2 linked regions of the Arabidopsis thaliana genome follow. The protein of the gene in region 1 interacts with the protein of each later gene in a pairwise test. Each region holds a gene or a part of one and is shown on either strand. Other genes may lie near its edges. The genes, in order: GASA5 and AT3G44590.

Region 1 (11,991 bases):
AGCAAGAACAAGCCAAACAATTGCTAATACAAAAAACAGATAAACTTACCATAAACAACAGAAATGATGAGCACTGACTTCTAATCCGCTAATCCAACTGTGAACAGAAAGAACAAAGAGCATAATTAATAACTGCAACAAAAACATTAACCACAATCCCAGATGATTCAATCATGCTGCTTAACAACATTGGTATAACATGCAAACTGAACAAAATTTCTAACTAAGAACCCTCAAGGAAATCACATAATTTACTATTTTTTTAAAAACAAAGAAAAGTCAAAGGACAGTGACCAATCTCTGAATAAAATCACGATTATAACTCCAGAAAACAAGGAATCTAACGATAATCAAGCAAATTAGTCTCTAAAAACTCCGAAAAATCAGAGTATAAGATTGCATTGTTGAGGTCTCAAAATCATCTTCCTCGACATTTGGATTTCCGCAATCATCATCTTAATCACTATCAGCATGAGCCAATCGAGAAGAAACAAAACCCTAAACTTACCATTAATTGATTTTCGCAGTACAAATACAAACCCTAGTTCCTCTAAAATCCAGATTCGATTTCCCTCTCTCTCTCTCTCTCTCTCTCTGGCGTGGCCCTAAGTTCGTTTCTCGATAAATCGCTTTTCCTCAAAACACAGAGCCCAGATAATGAGAGCTGCTATTAAATAGCCACCTCAAGGATTCTCTATATCTAGGACCTACACGTAGATACGTACGGACATACGTGCATATACACACGCAATTATTTATAAATTAATTACTAATTTTAGTCTATTAGTATTAAACACAACGCAAGAGTTAAGAGATTTTTACAGTGATTAGTATTTTACCTTTTACCGCCATGAAAGCACTCCTCTCTACTCTGGAAAAATAAGAATTCTGCACTTCTGACAGATAATTATATAAACATAAATATTTAAGTTTTCTTCTTAAGCCTAATTTAGAATTACATTATTAACTTAATTGTTAATTTGGTAATTTCATTGGAAGTTAATTTTAATTGTTTTATCTGTTCCCACTTATCTTTAAGTTAGGAAAACTTGTTAGGCCGTTAACGTTAAAAAATAAAATAATAGACCAAACGAAGAAGAGAATTTCAAAATGGCCATTTCGTCATCCTAAGATTATTTTCGGCCGTTTCAGCCCAAATTCTGTAATTGGAAAACCGTTGGGCTAATGGGCCTTTTATAAAAATTTATGGTCACAGATTTTATGGTGATGTCCATTAATAATTGTCCAGTCCTTTTAAAATTAATCAGATTTTTTTTACATTAAAACTAAAAACACAAATAATATGACAAAACAAAAAATCAATGAAATGGCCCACAAAGATCACATGCTCAACTTCGCCGCATTTTTCGCTTTCTATTACACTTTTTTTTCTTTTTAGTCGCACTTCACAATTAGCTTAATTAATTTCCTAAACTCGCTTATTTTCCCCTTTCTATATACAGATATTATCATTAGTGACATTTTCATTTTCCAAACAGAGCGTTTAGACACTAGTCAACTACACAATATAATTTTCCAATTTTCACTGAGAGAAATGTTTTTTTTTTTTTTTTCCAAGGCAAGATTTTAGTCTTTTGGTTCTCTATACGTGGGTAATTAGTGATTAGTAATTTACACTGTTGAGTCTTTGACATTGTCTAAGAGACAAAAACGACAAGTGTGGTACGTAATTAGAAATTAAAATGACCTACTTCCCCAGAATCACGGCATGAACATTGGCAATACCAAATTTCTTGAATACCATTGAAGGAAATCCACACTAATCATTTTCTCTATAAATATCTTTAATCCGTTTTATTGTTTCTTAAGAATCATTCATTGGCAATCAAGATTTTTTAACCAAAAAAATGGCGAATTGTATCAGAAGAAATGCTCTTTTCTTCTTGACTCTTCTCTTTTTATTGTCAGTCTCCAACCTCGTTCAGGTAAACCACTCAAAACAGATTCAGTTTATTAAAGTCTGATATTGAAGTTTTATATATTACAGGCTGCTCGTGGAGGTAAAAATGACCAAAGGCTATACATTCCTTAAAAATTTAATGGCTATTAGTTTTCTGATATTGAAGTTTTATATATATATGACAGGCTGCTCGTGGTGGTGGCAAACTCAAACCCCAACGTACGGACTCAAAACTTTTGTTGTTTCATATGATCATATTAATTTATTAATCACTAATTATTGATAATGTTGATAAATAAACTTTAAAGTAACAATAATGGTGTTTATTTTGTGAAATGTCAGTTTTCTAGTATACTGTATGCTGTGAATTATAAGCATGAACATAAAGATCTCAATGATTTGTTTTTTGTTTGTTTGTTGTGATATGCTTTTTTGATGGAAACTTCAATTGTAGAGTGCAACTCAAAGTGTAGCTTCCGTTGTTCAGCAACATCACACAAGAAGCCATGCATGTTCTTTTGCCTCAAGTGTTGCAAAAAATGTCTTTGTGTTCCTCCTGGCACTTTCGGCAACAAACAAACTTGTCCATGTTACAACAACTGGAAGACTAAAGAAGGCCGTCCAAAATGTCCTTAAAACTTCTTTTTAGATATATTTGATAATATTCATCTAGTTTTGGATTATCAAACACTTACTACTCTGTTTTAATCTGTTTCTACAAGTTGGCGATTTGTCTCTACACTTTTTTTGTGTCTTTTGCTCTTAACTGTTGTGTTTGTTATACGTGTAAGCCCGCCCAATGTGTCATGGCCGAACTTATTATGGTTACATATTTATGAAATGGGCTTCATTATCAATTGATTTGAGCCTACAAAAATGTAGCCATAAAGCCCATTAAGTTGTAATTGTTAATATTTCAGTCATAAATATGATTTTCTATATCTATGATTTATCTCTAGTGTTGATGATGTTTGTATGTGGAAGTCATGTTCTATTTGCTTCCACGGTTTAAAAACCATCAACTTGCTAAGGTCAAATTCTAATATTACTGTGAAAAACATTATTTACGTGCGTAATTATATGAATTTATGAATAGGTTTTAATTCCATTTTTTCCTAATAGTGTTTTATGTCAAAGAGTATCCCACTAATAAATTTATTGAACCCCATGTGCATATGTACCCAGTCTGGTACGAGTTGGAACATGAGATAAAGTTGTGGCAACTGCCCATGACTCGGTGTAAATGGTATATCACATGAAAAATTATAAGTCCAGATCACAATATGTTTTCTTCAAATAATTCGAAAAATTATCTAATCGATTTCCCTTTAAGCTTGAACTAAATAGTTTATCAGCACTAGTAATTCTTTCATACAAAATCTCTAAGCAAATATATATCTTTCTGGGTCAATGTTGTTTTTTCATATCTAAAATGTTTTTTCTTTCTCCTGTGAAGTAGGGTTATTAGTTAGTGGTTACCAACTTCACATTATAAAACTTCATATCTAATCAAATCGTGAAGTATTTGTCAGTCAATCGTGAGACGATATTCATGACCACTTTTGTCGTTGACTTTGTTTTTGGCTCAAAATTTTGGACGGCGATAAAAAATAAAACTCGTTGACATTGTTTTTTGGCTGAATCGTTGACTAGGATTCTGGGATAAGATGTGTAAAGAAGAAAACAAAAACCAATTTATTCACACGCAATCAACTATATATTTATACAAAAATTAGCAAAAGCAATAGTTTTATAGACATTTTTAAAACTTTGGAAATAAAGAAAAGTAGAAAGAAAGAAAAAAAGAAACTGATAGGTCTCATCTCAATTTGAGGCTCAAGAATTAACGAACAAACTAGAACAAGAACAAAGAAGAAGAAGTAGAAAAAAGGCGGGAAGTGGGGTCGACACTATTCAAGAAATTGCAACTTGACCCCAAACAATATTCAAATCAATCAATTTAGACCCCCAAAAAATCAGTCGGATACAGGATTTGGGGAGCCAGATGAATGAGAAACCTCCTCAATGAGTCTGGTGACTTCAGCCATCGAAGGACGACTATCTGGGAACTGAGCCGTACAGCTCATACCGATCTTCAATAAACGAATGATGTTCTCATTGCCCTCAGGTTGGTACCTTGTGAGCTCGGGATCAAGCACATCGGACGGTGTTTGTTGCTCGGTAACAGATTGGACCCATCTCGGCAAATCTACGCCTTCTTCATTCAACTGCTGATGCGTTGGAGACTTACCTGCAATGTAATGTTCCATGTTAAAACCTAGAAACCACAGCAATTGCAAAAAAAGCAGTTAAAAAGATATATCTATCCTTGATTGTTTGTTACCTGTGAGTAATTCAAGGATTAGGACGCCAAAGCTATAGACATCAGCTTTTTGGGATATTTTGCGAGCATCAGTGATTTCAGGGGCACGGTAGCCATCAATACGGTTAGGTGCAGATGTAGAACTAATGATGGGAGCAAGACCGTAATCAGAGACCTTAGCTTCATAGGAGTCAGATAATAGTATGTTCGAGGACTTAATGTTTCCATGAGAAGTTGTCCCATCACGCGAATGTAGGTAGCTAATCGCTCTTGCAGCTCCTAAGGCTATACCGGCTCTGGTTTCCCAGTTCAACGGAGTTCTCCCGTTTCCTTTGTTCCCTACAAATCCATTAAAAGAGCTTCAAAACCGAGCTTGAAGACACATAAGATAAACTAACTATGAAACAATTCAGTAATCAGTGTCAATTTTAGCCAAACCAGGTCCATCAAGATCACAAACTAGCATCAGCTAAACTAAGAACCCTAAAAATAAACAAATGCACAAATGGAGATTACTATTCTATACCGTGCAATATCGCAGACAAGCTTCCTTTAGACATGTACTCAAAGACAAGAAGCTTCTCGTCACGGCTGAAATAGTAAGCGATCAGAGTCACGAGATTGGCATGACTCATTGATCCCAAAACATGCAATCTCTCTCTGAACTCTTTCTCAGGCACCACAACATCTCTTAACCGTTTCACAGCCACCACTAACCCATGCTCAAAGCTTGCCTTATACGACGACCCAACTGTTCCTTTCCCAAGAACCTCAGCTGAAGCCTTCAACAATCCATCCAAATCGAATTCCCCGAAAGATTTCACGAAAAAGGTCAAATCTTTATTCACCGCACCACTCTCCGACCCCGTAGCCTTAGCCGGCGGGACAACAACCACCGTTTCCTTTGGTATAGCAGCGGAGGAAGTCGCAGCAGCGACAGGAGCTTCAACATTCCTAGATGGAACGTTCTCTTCTTTCTTTCTCTTTCTACAGAGACAGAACAGAATCAAAAGAAGCAGTAACAGACCAACAACACATCCGATCACAATCCCGACAATAGCTCCGGCGGATAACTTGTCGCTATCTTTCTTCTCCGGCGGCGTATTGGGTCCTCCAGCGTCACCACCATTGGGGCTCTCTGCCTCACAAGTGTCTAAAGGCTTCCCACAGAGAGTGTTACCTTCAAAAGCAGTTCGAGGCCAAGACGACAACGAACTCGGAATAGACCCGTTTAACTGATTAGAAGAAACATTGAATTGCTGAAGAGGAAGCGTGATCTCAGGGATCGGACCAGAGAGTTGATTCCTCTCCAAATACAGAGTAACCAACCGGGTCGCAGAATTGACATTATCCGGGATCCGACCCGAGAATTTATTCTCCCCTAGATTGATTCTGATTATGCTCGGAAGCGTGAAGAGAAGCGACGGAATCTCACCGGAAAAGGCATTACCTTGAAGATACAAGTAACGGAGGAGAACAAGGTTGGAGAAATCCGAAGGGATAGGACCAGAGAGAGAATTGAACCGGAGAGAAAGAGTCTTAAGCTGGGTTAGATTACCAATACCACCGATTGGTAAAGAACCGAATAAACCAGATCCGGGTAATCGGAGAGCCGTGACCCGACCCGCATCGCAGTGGACTCCGTGCCAATTACAAGGAGAAGAAGCACTCATGTTCCATAGCAAAGGACGGCCACGGACACTGTTACGAACAGCGAGTAAAGCTCTCCGGTCAGACTCTAGATCTGAAGTCACCGCAGCGAGATAGAAGACAAAGAGGAAGACAACAGAGAGACTTAGCTTACGCTTATACTTCATCTTCTTCTTCTTCTTCAAAAACCGTGTAAATTCTTCGTCTCCTTGGTTCCAAAAATTCAATAAATATATCGACTTTTTCGGATATGGGTTTTTGGAAAATTTATTTCGGCTACGCGTAAACGAGTGTTTGAACAAAGAGACTTTTGTGTTTTTTGGTTTACAAGAGTTTCAGCTCTGTCTTTCTTCTCTCTCTAGAGCCGGCTAAGAGAGAGAAAATGGTCATAATTGCAGAGAAAAAGGAAAAAAAGAAAAGTTACTAATTGGAATATTTCCTTTTTGACAAAAAAGTTAAAAGAGAATCTTATGTATTTAATTTGACAGCTAATTTACAGAAAGATAATTAATTAATTATAAGGTTATGACTTATGAATACTAGTTGTAACAATTTTATCAGAGTCAACTATATTTGCGTTACATAAATGACAATAAATCACTGCAGTAATGTTTTTTGTAGACGTTTAAACGACCTCTGTTTTTCCTTTCTTTTGTATTAGATCAATAAATTAGGTCTAATTAAAAAATTAATGGTCGTTATCGTTTTGTTTCTTTTATGTTTTTTTTTTTTGCAGGTTGAGTGTGACCAAAGACATGCCAGGTCTGTCAAATGTGTCTGAGCTACCGTTGACAAACAAAGATTAGCCTCTCCGACACCGTTTTTATTTCTGATATAAGTTTGTACCATAGACATTTTTTTTTTTTTTTTATGTATTTGTTGTATCAATTTGAAAGGAAGGTAATAGAAATGGTCAACAGAGAACTTAAGAAGTGGTATTCATTTTGAAGATTTCAATTGTTCAATTTTTAAAACTCTTACATCAAATTTATTTTAATAGAAGTGGTTGGTTTCTCGTGACTATTAACAAACATTCTTCCCAACCCGAAACCTAACCTCACCTAACTTTCAAGTTCAAATACAAATAGATGATGACTAATATAAGCTGATTTTCTCCCAACACCTTCTATAATTCACTCTTAACCTCTTCTTCATGGCTATGACCATGTTCGTCCAAATAAGAAACGGCCATAGCTGCGTGAAGAGCAGCCCCAACAGGAAGAGCTTCTTCATCAACAAAGAAGTAAGGCGAGTGAAGCGGCTTACCAGCGCCTAGCGTCTCATTCTTTACCCCCAGCACGAAAATCGCAGCCTTAGTCTTTTGAGTGAAGAAGCTGAAATCCTCTCCTCCCATTGTCACCGGGAAATCATGGAAGTTATTCTTTCCAATCATCGCTTCCGCTACTTTTTTACCGTGCTCGTATAAGCCCTCGTCGTTATTCATTACCGGGTGAAGCGACGGCTTTTTCTCTTCGAAGTTTACTTCTGCTTTGCATCGGTATACCGATGCTTGTGCCTCTGAAATCTGCATCATCATCAAGAAACATTTAAACAGGGTTAGGGACCTACATTATTCGAATAGTAGAACAAGATTGTATAGAAAAATGGTGTAAAAAACAATCTCTTTACCTCTTTGATCCGTCTTTGGATAAATAGAAGCCCATCGTTGCTTAAGCTTCTGAAAGTACCTCCAAATTTCGCACTCTGCGGTATTACGTTTTGAGCATGACCTCCTTCAATATATCCAACTGTAACCACCTGAGAAACATAAAAAAACCAATCTCCGCTGATTTCAGCCAAGATTCTGATTCATCAAACACCAATGCTTTGAAAGTGGAAAGCAAACTTACACCAGCTTCGAGTGGATCCAGTTCCCGCGAAACAATCTGTTGCAAGGCAACAACAGCGGAAGAAGCTGCAAGAACCGGGTCTTTAGAGAAGTGCGGTGTAGCTGCGTGGCTACCTTGACCGTGAACCGTGACTGTAAACAATCCTGCACCTGCAAGAACGGTCCCAGGCCTAGAACCAATACCACCTGATGGGATCGATGGAAAGACATGAACACTGAGTATCCCATCTAAGTCGTCTAGAATCTCGTCTTTTAGCATTTCATAAGCACCTGCATAACCTTCCTCGCCTGGTTGAAACACAAGTTTTACTGTCCCCTGTTGCAAAAAAATTGTGTTTTCGTTCAAAACCCTCATAAGATTCACCAAACTCTCATAAGACACACACACTAACAACTCTAGAAAACACACACACATAACAATTAGCAATCAAAGACATACACACACATATATCTAAGAATCTTAGAAAACACTAACCCACATCGAAATGAGTTTTAATTGCAGGGCACAGACAGAATCATTCAAAATTATACATATAAATTGAGTGAAAGAGAAAAAAGAGAGACCTTGATGAGGTGTTTTGTGGTTTGAAGAAGCTTAGCAGCACCAAGAAGCATAGCAACATGAGTATCATGACCACAAGCATGCATCTTTCCATCTACTTTACTTTTCGATTCCCATTCCACTAATTCCTTTTTTTGTCCCCATTTTTTCAAATTCATTAGTCAAACAAAGCAATCTAAAAATCAGAGTAAAAATCGGAACTTTGATTATTAGATTTCAAACCTGTAACGGAAGTGCGTCCATGTCGGCTCTAAGTCCGAAAACAGGTTTCGAACAGGATCCGATCCAAGCGACGACGCCAGTCTTCGCCACAGGATACTTATACTTCACTCCAAGCGAGTCAAGCTCGTCTCGAACGAGTTGACTCGTTTTGAACTCCTGAAACCCTGTCTCTGGGTTCTCATGAATCTTTCTCCTAATTCCTCTCATCCACTCGAAGAACTCAGGATCCTTGGCTGAATGAAGCATCCCGCGAGCGAGTGACTCGAGACCCGAACCAGAATCGTAGCTCCCAGCTGAAGACAGAGGAGGGAGAAAGAAGAAGGTAACGAAGATGACAAAGAAGCTCCCTGAGAAATCCATTCTGATTTCTTTTGTTTGTCGATGTAAACTGGCAAGTGTCAATGAAAGAAAGGACAACGGTGAATACGATGATGATGAAGGAGAAGGAGTTGGATCACCGATCCATTTTTAATATTTATATAGTACGTAATTTACACACGTTTTTGGAAACTCTTTTAATCGTTTTTAAATACGTATACGCCTCTAATGTGAAATTCATAATTTATGGTTGTAATGTGAAGAAAATAATGAAATACCAAAGATAAAATATGAAAATGATACAATGTAGTATATTTACGGTATAAAAGGAATATTTACTTGAAATGAATTAGTACGTTTAATACACGATTTTACCATTTATGTTAATGAAAATTAACACTTTTAAAATAAAACATGGCATGAATTAGAGTTGTGAGAATCACATGTAGGCCTTTAAGGTTCTTAAATTTTTAATTCCTTATAACATAGGCCCATGTATTTGATTGACATATAGGCCATTGGGTTCTTCGACTTTTAAATTACTTATAACAAAGGCCCACCTATTTGAAGCGCATTGTTAAACATTTTGTTTATATTTTGATTATGATCGAAAATTCTCTAGAACAATTCGTACAAAAGAAGCTGTTTACGAAAGTAGCTGTACATGCGAACATAATCAATAAAAATGTAAATGACTAATGAAACATCAGAATATCCGTACAAAATTGTGACTTTATATTATTTAGTTATAGGTACAAAGTTGTGGAGAGTAAAAAAATAAAAAAGGTAAAAAGTTGTGGAATAGACCTATGAAACAATCACAAACATACAACCAAAATGCAAATTGTAATTACGCAACAGAGGCTTTCTTTTCAAGGAAGTCAAGTGTAAGATTTGCAAATGCCCCAATTATTATTTGAGAGAAAAAGGGATATTGCTAATCACAATTAACGGTCACATTACAATTCCCTTTTTTCTCTGTTATTTCCTCTTCTTTCACAATTAAGTTCTTAACGGTCACATAAATATTTTGTTTTTTATATAATGAGTTTAATTAAGTTGAAGAATCAACTGATAAGGTTGATGATCCGATCCTCAAAAGTATACTAACCACAACACTGTCTACGTTCATGTTAGTACCTACTTCAAAGTCCATGTACGTTGGGACTGGCTGTATCTTCCGCCGAGAGCAGCAGAGAGCGTCATCGCTGTCTTGGAACGAGAGAAAGGTCGAGACTATCTCTAAGGCAACCAAAAGCTTAGCTATGATGAAGACATCTTTCTCTCTCTCTTTGCCTATGAATGGAGAATACAACAAATAATATAAAGTGATGGACATTTCTATGCTTTGCTTCTCTTCTCCAAAGAGAAATAGATGAAAAAGATTGTTGATTTTCGTTTCTCTCGAAGAAGAAGAAAGAAGAAGAAGGTGAATAGAGACTTTTGATTTCTCAAGAATGAACAAGTAGATTGTAGAGTGTTAGTGTTTAGTTCTGTTCTTAGGTTGCAGAGATTGTGTATGTGTGGCGTTTGATGTCTCGTGTTGGAGAGGTGGTCTCGTTTAGAGTGTTAGTGTTTAGTTCTGTTCTTCTGTTGATCTGTGTTTTTTTTAAATGTAAATTACACAAGTATGCAAAACAAATCTCTTCTCAGAAAGGGGCTACTGTTATATCATGAGATTTATAAGACAAAATGTAAAATATCGGAAAAATAAAACAACATAATTTTGGTGTTGAATGAGTTTTTCTTGTCCACACAACGGCAGAAGCAGTAGACGATTGTTCCTTTGTCTCTTGATCACAAACCGATTTCAAAGTGTTCTTCGCATTTTTCTCATCAATGTAAGTGAACCAGCCAGAGAAAGACAAGTATGCACCAATATCATTCCGGCCCCATATTCAGAATAAATTAGAACATCTTTTTCCTTCCGTGTTATGCACTTGTTCTAAAAAAAAAGAATTCCGGCCCATATTCAGAATAAGGAGTCCAGTCCAATAGTCTCAAGTCCAAACCCGACTCGGGTCTGTCCGACCCGGAAAAGAGAACTGATTACAGAATGCGGGTTTTGTCAAGAGAAAGTTGGATGATAAAATTGAGGTGAAATCTAATCTTCAAATGATCATTGGTTAGCTTTTTGTATAACGGATTTTCTGAAATCCTCTTATTTCCCATATCGGACCGTGATTATTGGGTGATTTCGGATGCCTAATTGGGTAATTAATATAATACAGTATAAGATTAGATGCCTCGAATATTCGCTCTGTGCCTAACCACAAAAACCGTAACTTTTGGTTTTCTCTGAAACACATCCCAAAGTAAAGAAAGCATCACTCTTTTCGTCTTCTCTCGAAAATGGCGGACAATGGTAAAGTCACGATCAATCTCTGCAAACCTTATTTGATTTCCCTGTTTCCTCATTTTCTTTCGGGCGACATTGATTTGACGCAGATTCTCTAGATCAGTTTTTGGCTGCCGCCATTGATGCCGCTAAAAAAGCTGGACAGGTCTATCTTTCGATCTCCTTGAGTTTTGATCGATATTTTGGCTAATCGTTATTTAATCTGGCTCCTTTTGGTTTGCGTTCTGCAGATCATTCGTAAAGGGTTTTACGAGACTAAACATGTTGAACACAAAGGCCAGGTTTTTGTTTCTTTCCTCCGCTCAGATAATGTTTCAATCACTCAATAAGTGGGAATGGCTACTTAAGAGTGTCAATTTTTTTTTTGAAATTATCTTCTATGGCTCCTTAAATTGTTGCTTTTAGGTGGATTTGGTGACAGAGACTGATAAAGGATGTGAAGAACTTGTGTTTAATCATCTCAAGCAGCTCTTTCCCAATCACAAGGTGGTGATTATTTCTTCTTTTGAATTCCCATTTTGTTGGCTTCTTCCTCGCGTTGATCATTAGAGTTTTGCTATAATTTATTAGTTCATAGGAGAAGAAACTACAGCTGCATTTGGTGTGACAGAACTAACTGACGAACCAACTTGGATTGTTGATCCTCTTGATGGAACAACCAATTTCGTTCACGGGTATTATCATTATTGATCAATTCCCATTTGAATGACCTGTGTGTTTCATTTGCCCATTTCATCAAAAACAAAAACAAATGCTGTTTTTTTTTTGTAGGTTCCCTTTCGTGTGT
Region 2 (11,862 bases), about 16 Mb from region 1:
AGGTATGGGAAAGACAAACGACGCTGCAGGCACTTCTCGAGCACGCACGAGCACTTCCGGAGCACCGACAAAAGAAGATCCTAACAAGCGTCCTGTTACCGGCATATGAGATAGGGAAGACACAAAGCTACTGGCAGCTTTGAAGCATATTGATGTGCGGCCAACACGAGTCGCTTCCAGACCTTCTCTACATGTGCTTAGCCTGTACGATGATGTTGTAACGGTGTTTCAAACACTTGGTATGGGACGGTATTGGGAAATGGATGAGGATGTATATCCTAAACTTGTGAAGGAGTTCATTGCCACATGTCGCCTCACGTACGCGAATCCAGAGAACCCGAAAGCGAGTAAAGGAAAACTCACATTCTTTCTCAACAAACAGCATTACAGCAAGACATTGTTTGAGATCTGCGACATGTATGGATTTACGAAAGGAGAAGCGGTTGAGTTCCCGAAGTTGTCTCTTGTAGTTGCTGATGACTTTTAGAACACGATAGCTACATGAATATATAAGTCGCGCACAGCGAAGATAACACATATCAGGAGTCCTGTTGTGCGATATGTTGCGAAGCTTCTCGGTAGCGTTCTATACTTCAAACCGGTGATCACTGTTGTGCAAGAGATCGAGTTACCACTGCTTTTCTATGGGGTCAAACATCTACTAGACGCCTACTCCGATATTCCAGCTCCCGACACTAATGTAGCTGCGGTTTTGTGTGACACATTGGTGAAGATGAAGAATAATGTTCCTACATCAGCCGCGAAAAGCATTTTAGCTGGTATCGCAATTACTCCATTGTTCCTTGGCTGCAATCTAGACCTCTCTAGGGCTTTGTCATCCATTAAACGAGAGCGAATGGACTTGATCTACCTGATTCATACCAGTTTCACCAAGCCAAGAAGTCGACTGTACCAATTTCTAGGAAGGGACGGTAACACTTATTTCTGCAGGATATCCAACCAGCATATTATTCACTCCTCTCCGCGACGAACCTAGTGTTCAAACCTAACGAGCAGTACCTTGTTACCTAGTGTTAGACTGTCACTTGTCTACTAATCTAACACGGTCTCAGAAGGGTTAGGAACAAAGTACTGCTCGTTAGGTTCAAACACTAGGTTCGTCGCGGAGAGAAGTGAAGTAATATTCTGGTTGGGTATCGTGCAGAAATAAGTGTTACCTTCCCTGCCCAGAAATTGGTACAGTCAACTTCCTGGCTTGGTGAAACTAGTATGAATCAGGTATGTCAAGTCCATTCGCTCTCGTTTAATGGATGACTCAGCCCTAGAGAGGTCTAGATTGCAGCCGAGGAACAATGGAGAAGTGCAGTACAAGCTAAAATGCTCTGCACGGCTGATGTAGGAACATTATTCTTAATCTTCACCAATGTGTCACACAAAACCGCAGCTACATTAGTGTTGGGAGTTGGAAGATCGAGTAGACGCCTAGTCGATGTTTGACCCCATAGAAAAGTAGTGGTAACTCGGTCTCAGGCACAGCTGTGATCACCGGTTTGAAGTACAGAACGCTACCGAGGAGCTTCAAAAACATATCGCACAATAGGACTCCTAATATATGTTATCTTCGATGTGCGCGACTTATATGTTTCTGTAGCTATCGTGTTCCAAAAGTCATCAGCAACCGCAGGAGACAACTTCGGGAACTCAACCGCTTCTCCTTTCGTAAATCTATACATGTCGCAGATCTCAAACAATGTCTTGCTGTAATGCTGTTTGTTAAGAAAGAATGTGAGTTTTCCTTGACTCGCTTTCGGTTCTCTGGATTCGCGTACGTGAGGCGACACGTGGCAATGAACTCCTTCACAAGTTTAGGATATACATCCTCATCCATTTCCCAATACCGTCCTATACTGAGTGTTTGAAACACCATCACGACATAATCGTACATGCCAAGCACATGTAGAGAAGGTTTGGAAGCGACTCGCGTTGGCCTCACATCAATATGCTTCAAAGCTGCCAGTAGCTTTGTGTCTTCCTTATCCCATATGCCGATAACAGGACGCTTGTTAGGATCTTCTTTTGCCGATGCTCCGGAAGTGCTCGTGCGTGCTCGAGAAGTTCTTGCAGCGTTGTTTGTCTTTCCCATACCTTTTGCAAAAGAGACAAAGTGAAGTCAAGAAATCACTCAAAAATAAATCAAAGAACTTAAACATTGTATTTTAGTTATTAAAACTAAACAATGCATCATGAATAATCAAGTTCTAAGCTCTAAAATCCGTTTTTCTCAAAGTGTATGAACATGTCCGTTTTTTACCAAAGGGGAAATTTTCAGATCTCAAATTAGGCCTTAATCCAGCAATTAAAGGCTTAAAAAGGTTTCCAAAACCATCGTAGACAATAAGCTAGCATCAGATAACCCATAAACATCATGAAAATTCAAGGAATTGGAGATTTATCACTTTTGAAAACAGAACAAAAAAAGGGAATGTCGAGCACATACCTTTGCAGATCCAGAAAACAAACAGTAGATATGGAAAGAGGAAAAGTCTGATTGAAATAGGCACCAAATTTGACAAAAACGACTAAGAATTGAGAGAGTTAGGGTTTAGTGATTTTGGTGTTCTTGATGAACAAAAAACGAAGAAGTTGAAGTGGAGCTCTTGAATGGCGAAGGAAAACTTGATCCGGTGATAAACTGTTCGTCGTTCCGGTTCAATTTAAGTGGAGTTTGGTTCAATTCCGGTTAGCAGAAATCCAATCGGTTTGGATTAATTGAGATCGATCTACTGGTGGGATCGATCGATCCCGTTCTGGCTGATGATGTTGAAGCTCGAAGGAACGACTGGATCGATGATGTTCTAGCAGATGATGTTGACGCATTGGTATCGATCGATCCCCGGCAACGGCGCCAACTTGATTGCTCGAGTAATTGCTCGATAAACTTAACCGCAAGGTAGTATATGCGAGGTCGATCCACAAGGACCAAAGATACTCTAAGGATTTCCGAGACTCGTTCTTAGCTAAAGCAAAAACGTTGTTTGTTTGGTTTTTGAATTATAAATTAAAATGCAAGAAAATAAACGATTAAAATTATGGATTAAAGACATTGGGCGTTAGGGTATTTCAAAAGACAAAGATTAGCATAATAAACAAAATAGAGAATTCAATTATGAAGAATCGTTCTGAAACATAAACATAATTCTAAACTAACTCTCTCTCGAGATACTAGCCACTAAATTTGACTACTCAACTACTAAACTTTCGTTTGTAGTCTCCTAATTGGCATTAATGAGTTGGTTTATTTAGTTCACAATGCGTTCTAACGTCAACTTTCGATGGCTAGAAATACAATGCTCAATTTATATTCGTTTAGGCATTCTATCGAACACTTTTAATGCATAGAAAAACCTAAGTTCTAAAACAAGGTGATCAATCCTATTCTAGCATTAAGAACACATAAATTGAAGAACCTAAAGATTGAGAATTCCCTACGACAGCTTAGTTACTAATTCATTGACTTCCTACTTAGAACCCTAAAACCCAATTGTTACTCAGACATTGCAATAGAAATCAAGCAAAGAGATATGAAAGAAAACATGATTCAAATAGAATAATTAAGAACAGAGTTTAGAAATCTTCTCCAAATTGTCAAGAAGGATGAATCTCTAATCCCCAAAAGTGCTTACAGAAAAGTTTTTAGAAATGTTACTGAAAAAGAAGCGTAAAAAGATAAATTAAGTTCCTGGGGTTTTTTATACCCAAATACAGAAAAAGACATATAAACCCGGTTAAGGAAATTCGGTCTGGTTATCGAGAGTGTTGGATCGATCGATCCCGAGCTGGCGGACATTTTACTTCGGTGGATGAGTGGTGGATAGATCGATCTCCACCTAGGATCGATTGATCCCGAGCTGGCGGATGATTTGTCTTCGACGATGAGTTTTGGATCGATCGATCTAGTGGTGGGATCGATCGATCCAATGTTTCTGACCCCGGTTTCTCGATTCCTGCTATCGTTTCTTGTCCAAATGAGCCCGATAAGTCCCGAAAACATTTGTGTTCCGCTTAAACACCTAAAACCTGCAAATGACTCAAGACACAACCGAAAAGACGCAAAAGACAGACTACGACACGACAAACTACTCAAAACTAAGAGACCTAAGACACCAAAAACGCAACATATCATATAGTTTAGCGTTTAATTTCAGAGTAGTTAAGCTTAAGGTTCATAAGGTTTATCAATTTGTGATTACTTGATGATTTGGTAGAATGTGAATGATTGCGTAGGGTATAAACGTATAGTTTATGGTTTTGATTAAATGATTGATTGCTTGAATGTGAATGCATGAGATATATTTGGATTAGCATTTGTCTTTGAGGAAAGCGTACATAAAGAGCGAAAATTGGCCAATTGATGGGTTGTTGGACATCAAAAATTAAGAAATTACTTGATTGTATATATTTAAATTTCAAAAATATATTCCTTACCAGTATAACAGATATCGTGTTATTAGCATCAATAAATAACCATAAATCAGTTTTTCGCTTATGGAGAAAACTCTAGTGATCGATTAGATCGGTTTCTAAAAAAGTTATAAGTGATCGAGTAATGAACAGTTTAGATGTGTGGCTAAGCAGAACCGTAGCCGAACCGAAGTTTCTAAAAATACATAATAATATACTAAACCAAACCGTATCTAAACCAAAGTTTCTAAAATAATCGAATGGTTAATAAAACCCCTATTCAAACTAACCAAAATCAAAAGGGAACCGAACCAAACAGAACTGTTAATCAAATGATTAATCGGAATATCGAAAAACCTAAAATATTCAAAAACCTAAATGTTCATAATTGAACCCCACAAAAAAAAAAAACAATTGAAGGTAACACCGGAACCGTAGCTAACCGGAAACCGAAGAAAACCCTAACTATATATAATTAACTCATCATCTTCTTCCTTCATTTTCGTTTTCACTTTCTCCGAACAACCAAAAGCTTGTAGCTTCCTGCTCCTCAAATCTTCTTGGTAACTCTTCTTCCAATGTCTCTCAATCGATTCCCTTGTGTTTAATTCTATTTCTGAGTAATTTGATTTGGTTTTGGTTTTGTATTAAAAGCAGAAAAATGAAGGTTGCCGCTGCTTTCCTCCTCGCCGTTTTGGGCGGAAACGCTAATCCTTCTGCTGATAATATCAAAGATATCATCGGAGCTGGTAAATTTCTGTGCTTTTGAATTTGTTTATGAATGTGTTTTGATTTTATTGGATTGTGTTACTGTGATCGGCGAAGTAGTAGCAATGATGATTTGGGAAGATTCTGTATTTGCTTTGTTTTAGCTATAAGAGTTTTAGTTTGATTGTTGAAGAGTATAAGAACAGAAGATAGTTTTGTTCACTGTATATGATTCATTAAAGGACTTTGTTTGTTATGTTTTGTTATGTAGTTGGTGCTGATGTTGATGGAGAGAGCATTGAGCTTCTATTGAAAGAAGTGAGTGGTAAAGACATTGCTGAGCTGATTGCTTCTGGTAGGGAGAAGTTAGCGTCTGTGCCATCTGGTGGTGGTGTGGCTGTTTCAGCTGCTCCATCAAGCGGTGGTGGTGGTGCTGCTGCCCCTGCGGAGAAGAAAGAAGCCAAGAAGGAAGAGAAAGAAGAGTCTGATGATGTAAAGCATTTCTCTCTTTATCATTTTGTTTCCTTATTACTTAGTCTTTGTTATGGTCTTGATATTGGTCTTTATCTGACTCTTTGTTATATCCTTCACCTTTGATGCAGGACATGGGATTCAGTCTCTTCGAGTAAGGTTTTTGTCCCCACGGAAAGGAGTCGAGATTTGATTTTTTGTTCTCTTAGTGGTTCTGGTTTTTGCTTCTTGGATTACGAATTTTACTCCTTAGATAATGAAGCAAGAAGAGTTTTTTCAACTATGTTGCGACCTTGCGGGTTATTCATTTATCGTTTTCCGTTTGATTTACATGTTGAATCTGGTCTAAGCTTGTAATTTACATAGTTTAGTTCATAGTATGTTAGCATATCACAAAATAAGTGCCTAAGAGGGCTAGAATTTGATACACTCATGGAAAAGTTTATCTTTAGTGATCCCAAATAAACAGAAAAATCCAAATCCAAGTGAAATTGAGATTCTATGTTATTAACTTCAAACATTGGTGTTGTCGTGTTGTCGTTTCAGACATAAACCCATGAAGCTTGGATAAATTAGAAGAAAGTAGATCAACTCTATTTCAAGAAAATAAGAGGAATTGAAGTAACATTAGAAGTTGAAGTCTTTTTGTTCACTAAGCATTCTCATAAAATTTGTTTGACAAAAACATAAAATAATGTTTAGTGTCAAGAAGATGATGCCACCAACTTAACCTGATCTGCTCGGGTACAACAAACATATCCCACAGTTCGATCCATCTCCGCAAGAACAACTTCCCAGCATAGAACCAATCACGGGGTTACGGATCAGCATAGATTGTTCACTATCTTTGAGACAGTAGCAAAGATGCTAAGATTTCGGAACGGTGACATTAAGTATCTTCACATCTTGGTAAGGCCTGTCGTTCTTGTCTGTCTTCACTTTCTCTATACCCTGTTCATTTGGTTTTATGGTTAGGCACTAAGTCACACTAAGCCAACAAGTAAAAATATTCTTTTTGGTTTTCAAATCATACCTGAACGACGTCCATTCCCTTCACAACTCTTCCAAAAACAGTGTGCTTATTGTCTAGCCACGGTGTAGCCACTGTTGTGATGAAGAACTGAGACCCATTTGTGTTTGGGCCGGCATTTGCCATAGACAATGTGAACGGCCTGTCATGCCTTAGACTGCAGGCCAAGTAAAAGAACAACGTATCAAACTAAGTTAGATTTCATTTGTTTCTAAACGGATGGCTAAACTCAAAGCAGCCTGTAAGAAATGTTTACCTTTTGTGAAACTCGTCCTCAAATTCTCTGCCCCAAATTGACTGTCCTCCAGTACCATCCCCAAGAGGATCTCCAGTCTGTATCATAAATCCTCTGATAACCCGATGGAAAAGGTGGTTATCGTAATAGCCATTTCTACAGTGTGTTGTGAAATTCTCCACAGTTTTGGGACATTCTTCTGGGTAAAGCTTCATGTGAATGTCACCAAGCGTAGTATGCATTATCTGGATGATTAGGAGTTAAAAAGAGTTATTGTGTTAAGGATCCAAATTACAGTACGTAATGAAAAGTAAAATAGATACCAACATTGTGGGTTATGAAAACATACCACGTTCTCTGGAAGGGATGTTGTGGCTGAGTTTCCAATATCTGAGACAGACATAAGTTCATCAGCAGCAGGCTTCTCGTTAAACACATCTCTCCCTTGGCTTGCATCTTCAGGTTCTTCTGGCTCTCTCCGACTGCAGAAACCAATTTGTTGATAATAAATTCAAAGTAGTTCTCGGGATATCTAGAGAAAACATATGAGGTCTTTCTACAAAGTAGAATCTAAAGGTGCGAAAAAATAATTCTTTCTCCCACAACATAAAGATGAGTCATTCTAGCACAATATGAGTCACGTACCTGAACATATAGATCCTGTGTTTCTTAAAGGCACAGCATAGGATAGTCGGATCAGTCAAAGGCTCCTTGCTTTCATTTACATTTGCTGCAGCTGCAGGAATCTTTCTAACTTTCTTGCCTCCTTGATCACCTTGATATAATGCAACTCTCAGATACCTTTCATTACTCTCCACCTTTCCAAGGATCCTTGCAACTGTGTTGGTGTGTAAATTTATTACCTAGAGAACAAAAAGGTAGACAGAGAAATTAGCAGTTGCTTGTCATGATTCCATTTACTACGCATGGAAGAGTTCTGATACAATCAAATCATAAAAACTGGTCCGCTTTTACATAATGATCTGCTGAAAATACATAGATATTGAGGGTTAGTGATAATGGAGCTCCTCCCACTACCCCTTAGACACCCAAATTTACAAAAAAAATCTCAAGCTTCTTTTATTCTAAATTCACTATATTGGCAGAAAGTATAACCACTTTCATATATGGTACAAAGAAGTAACCACATTATATCTTGGTCATCACCTAAGTAAAGGTGAAAATCCCAGGTCTTTAAGCTCGTTAATTGTATCATGTGCATGTGAGACAGGATACTTATCATGTCTAGACTGTTATGCTAGTCTATGGTAATTTAAAACGAAAACAATAAGTGGATTCCTTACTTTTATTCCAAGAAAAGTGGCGTATATAAGGAAATTAGAGCTTTCATCAAACACAGCATTGGGCTGCGGAGCACTCTCGGTTTTTTCAAGTTCCTTTTCAACTGCCATTCTTCTACCAAAGTCAATAGCTTCAAGCCTGTATAAGGGAGCATCACTCCTCTGCAGATCTTGGGCCACCTAATAGTGGAATGGATCATTAACCATGACAGATTAACGTGAAAACATGTAAGGAAAGAAGCATAGAGTATGTAACCTTACCACAAGTGACTCATCATATACCCGCCTCAGTTTACCAGTTCTAAACCAGAACACACGAATCCTACGATCAGGAGCTGTAATGGAAAACTGTTTACCATCTGGACTCACCTGAAAAGAATTTCACTAAACTTAGAGACCAAATTTGCATTATGATTTTCACCAGACATATCAATTGCTAATAGCTGCATTCTAAGGATGTAAAGAAAAACCAAGGATACTAAATGCCAAATAAGTACCTCAATGGCAGAGATTGTTGTTTTGCACTTTATAATCTCAAAGAGATTTGTATCACTCTTCAGTTTAAAGTTTACCCTACAACAACAAGTAAAAGGTCAACCTGTGAACCATTAATGAAAGCAGCCCATCAACTATACTGAAATTCTAAAGATGGTCAACTAAGAAGTTGGCAACTAAAGTATTTCTACTACAGGCTCCTCTTTGCATCATTCTCAGTAATATGATATTTAACTACATTAGCCACACGCAGAAAAACAGGTATGCTTCTCTTATCCTACACGCTCCAATTTATAGAAAACAAACAGCAATACCGAAATGGAATAATAAAAGCGTTTTTGATAAGAAGTGAGACAAGGACATACTCATCCTCGGGAAACTGTAATGTAGTTGCACTCCAGTACTCAATGATTCCTTTTGTGTCACCAGAGATCATTGTGTCCGAAACAGGATTGTACTTCATGACCTTAATTGGATTCATATGTATCTGGGTATACAAAGATTAAAAAAAACTGTTAGCTTTGATAAAAAATGATGAGTCAAGAAATAACAACAAAAGAAAAAGAGATTGAAACAAACCTCTTTTGAAGCAATGGGTTCGTTGGAACCAGAACGAGGATCATAAATGTGCACAAACAAAGAGTCTCGGTCACTGACAGCAAGTTTAGCTTTGACATCCCCTTGCTTGTAGACCCACTCAACAGCACCAGGAATATATGGCAAACGGATCATGGCCATCATATCGTAGTTGACAACATCATATATTTTAACAGCATGATCATTTGAGATTGTACAGCAAAGCAAACCATCAATGCTAACCTGCATTGCTGAAACGAGTCATTGGTTGATAATAGAACTAGACACAAACAAAAAAATTGCGGAAACCATAACATGTCTAACTATAATTTCCCCGCCAGGTCAACTATCTTCATTCAATAAACAAATAAAAAGCTAATCTTTCAAAACATGGAGCATATGCCTGGATTTGAGGTGACAGTATCTTAAAAACCACTCGCGATACTTACCGCTAGACCTTCAATTGGACCGAGATGGGAGCGGAAATGCTTAGCAAACTCGATACCAACACCCTTTTTCTTCCAAAATTTCAAGTGACCTAGATTATGCAAAATATACATATGTTATGCTTTGCCATTACAAAACCAGAATGAAATCATAAATATCACAAAGATGAGAAACATTACCATCCATACTTCCACTTATAAAGAACTCAGCTGCTGAAACAGCAACATGTGTAACTACATCTCGATGCATATAACTTTTCTCATACCTAGTGAAAAAATATACAAGAGTTACTTTTTCAATACCAATTCACAGATAATAAGCTCATATATACCAACAACAATACTAAACCAATAAGCTCAAATTAAAACCCTAAACCCCAAAACTTGATTCGATTAGGAACAGAGAGGGTTCCAAAGCATAAGACATACTTACATATTAGCAGAAGGAAGCGAATCAAGATAAGCTTGCTCGAATTGAAGCGGACGCTTGCGTTTGCCTCGTGGAGCTGGTCCAGGTCCGACCATCGGCTCCTCTTCTTCTACTACAGGTGGCACCGCAACCACCGCCAATTCTTCAGTCGGAATCGTGGTTCCGCCATTCTTAGATTCTTCCTCCATTGATTTCTACTCACTTCCTCAACTCAAAACTCCTTCGTCGATTGAAAGCAAGGTTTGCTACAACTTCGAATTGTCAGAGAGAGACAGTGAGTGAAATAAATAGAGAAGAGAAGTAGATTCATGAACTAAATATATCTATTGGGCCTTATTTTTAAGCCCATATATAAATTTATGAGCCTGACCCAATTGGGTATTTTGCAGAATTTTCAGCTCCTAATTCATAAAAGTAATAAATCGAGTTTTATCTTGAGAGAGAATAATAAATAAATATATAAATAATTTATATTTTATTATCAAATAATTTTGATTAATTAAATAGACTTTTATTTTATTTTTGATCCAATTTGAATACTCCTTCCGTTTCATAATATAAGTTATTTTAGATCAAATTTTTTGTTTCACAATATAAGTTGTTTTCAAGTTTCAATACAAATTATATATTATTTTAATATTTTATGATTATCTATATTATGCACTCTCTTTTATGATTGGTAGAACTTTTTAAAAGTAAATATTCTTAATTTGTGTGCTTTTAGCTAAAACAACTTATATTGTGAAACAGATGGAGTATTTAAAATAGTGAATTTGTAAAATAATTTTTTTTATTTATGAATTTTGTAATTTTCATAATAAATTTATTTTAGTCACTAATTTTTCAAATAAATTCATATTTAGCATAAATTATATTTATAAAAAAATATTTAATAATAATAAAATAAGTTGTTACAGTTTTTTTTTGTTACTAATCAGATTTTAATAATTAAATTCTCCATAGTCAAAATCTCTACAGCCAATTTTTTACAATTAAAATCATAATAACCAAAGTTTTTACAACAAAAAATAGCAGCTGCTCCTAATCGGCCTCCTTATCACTTACTTTATCCATTACTGTTTGTTCTTATTTGACTATGGACTCTTATCCTCGAGATGTTTCTTGGTCAACCTCAGTTTCAGTGTTTGTCCTAATAGGGGTTTAGCCTTAAACCATTTGTCAGATTCAACGTAATACCTAAACTCAATTTTGGTGAAACTTGAAAGCAGTCTATGTTTCAACTTCTATTATGTACAAATAGTCCGTTAAAAGGACATGTAAAAACTTACTTGCTGCTTCGTCATGAGGCCATTTTGTTTGCAACTGACGTGGTGATAACTACCAAAATTTTGTTACTGAAGAATCCAAATAATTTGAGTTTAATAACCAACATGATTATATACTATCTAAAGTTCTAAACTATTTCTTAACATACATCATTTCAAATTTAAATAAAGTCCTATAATCCTTATTATAAAATGTAACGTAAGGATGTAAACACTTAAATATACATGAAGCATATAATTATAGACCGTAAAGGTCTTAGTTTCTTGAAGACCGTTAAGGTAACTAGAAATAATTTTATTGGTTATTTGGGATAATTTACTTGGTTCATCATATTCGTCTTCTGTCCAAAAATTCAGGTACAGTTCTTTTATGATCACATTCATTCTCTTGATACTAGAGAATTTATTTTAAAAAAATAAATATGATCATAAAAGAAGTATACTTGGATTTTGGAGCAAAGG

The links.
Region 2: the proteins of GASA5 (region 1) and AT3G44590 interact in a two-hybrid assay, tested with the Arabidopsis thaliana proteins (one large-scale study listed by BioGRID).

What each region holds. Positions count from the first base shown.
Region 1 is NC_003074.8:628,889-640,879, reverse strand, and holds GASA5 (GAST1 protein homolog 5), read left to right. Parts: upstream 1-1,701; 5' UTR 1,702-1,868; coding exon 1,869-1,946; intron 1,947-2,106; coding exon 2,107-2,140; intron 2,141-2,375; coding exon 2,376-2,557; coding exon of another isoform or gene 2,558-2,570; 3' UTR 2,571-2,959; downstream 2,960-11,991. Other genes in the region: AT3G02890 (RING/FYVE/PHD zinc finger superfamily protein), read right to left, coding at 50-52; AT3G02880 (Leucine-rich repeat protein kinase family protein), read right to left, coding at 3,898-4,172, 4,266-4,583, 4,771-6,061; ILR1 (Peptidase M20/M25/M40 family protein), read right to left, coding at 7,021-7,419, 7,524-7,652, 7,745-8,059, 8,308-8,433, 8,528-8,887; VTC4 (Inositol monophosphatase family protein), read left to right, coding at 11,198-11,210, 11,294-11,349, 11,435-11,485, 11,610-11,690, 11,775-11,878, 11,976-11,991. UniProt on the Arabidopsis thaliana protein: Gibberellin-regulated protein that acts as a negative regulator of gibberellin-induced flowering and stem growth. May inhibit flowering and inflorescence growth via a pathway involving GAI and by enhancing FLC expression and repressing FT and LFY.
Region 2 is NC_003074.8:16,158,900-16,170,761, forward strand, and holds AT3G44590 (60S acidic ribosomal protein family), read left to right. Parts: upstream 1-4,809; 5' UTR 4,810-4,985; intron 4,986-5,076; exon of another isoform or gene 5,077-5,079; 5' UTR 5,080-5,083; coding exon 5,084-5,171; intron 5,172-5,401; coding exon 5,402-5,622; intron 5,623-5,732; coding exon 5,733-5,759; 3' UTR 5,760-6,098; downstream 6,099-11,862. Other genes in the region: AT3G44570 (retrotransposon ORF-1 protein), read left to right, coding at 242-456, 544-779, 854-936; AT3G44580 (uncharacterized protein), read right to left, coding at 1,613-2,104; CYP71 (cyclophilin71), read right to left, coding at 6,469-6,552, 6,635-6,788, 6,888-7,111, 7,216-7,348, 7,512-7,729, 8,171-8,347, 8,429-8,536, 8,665-8,740 and 5 more. UniProt on the Arabidopsis thaliana protein: Plays an important role in the elongation step of protein synthesis.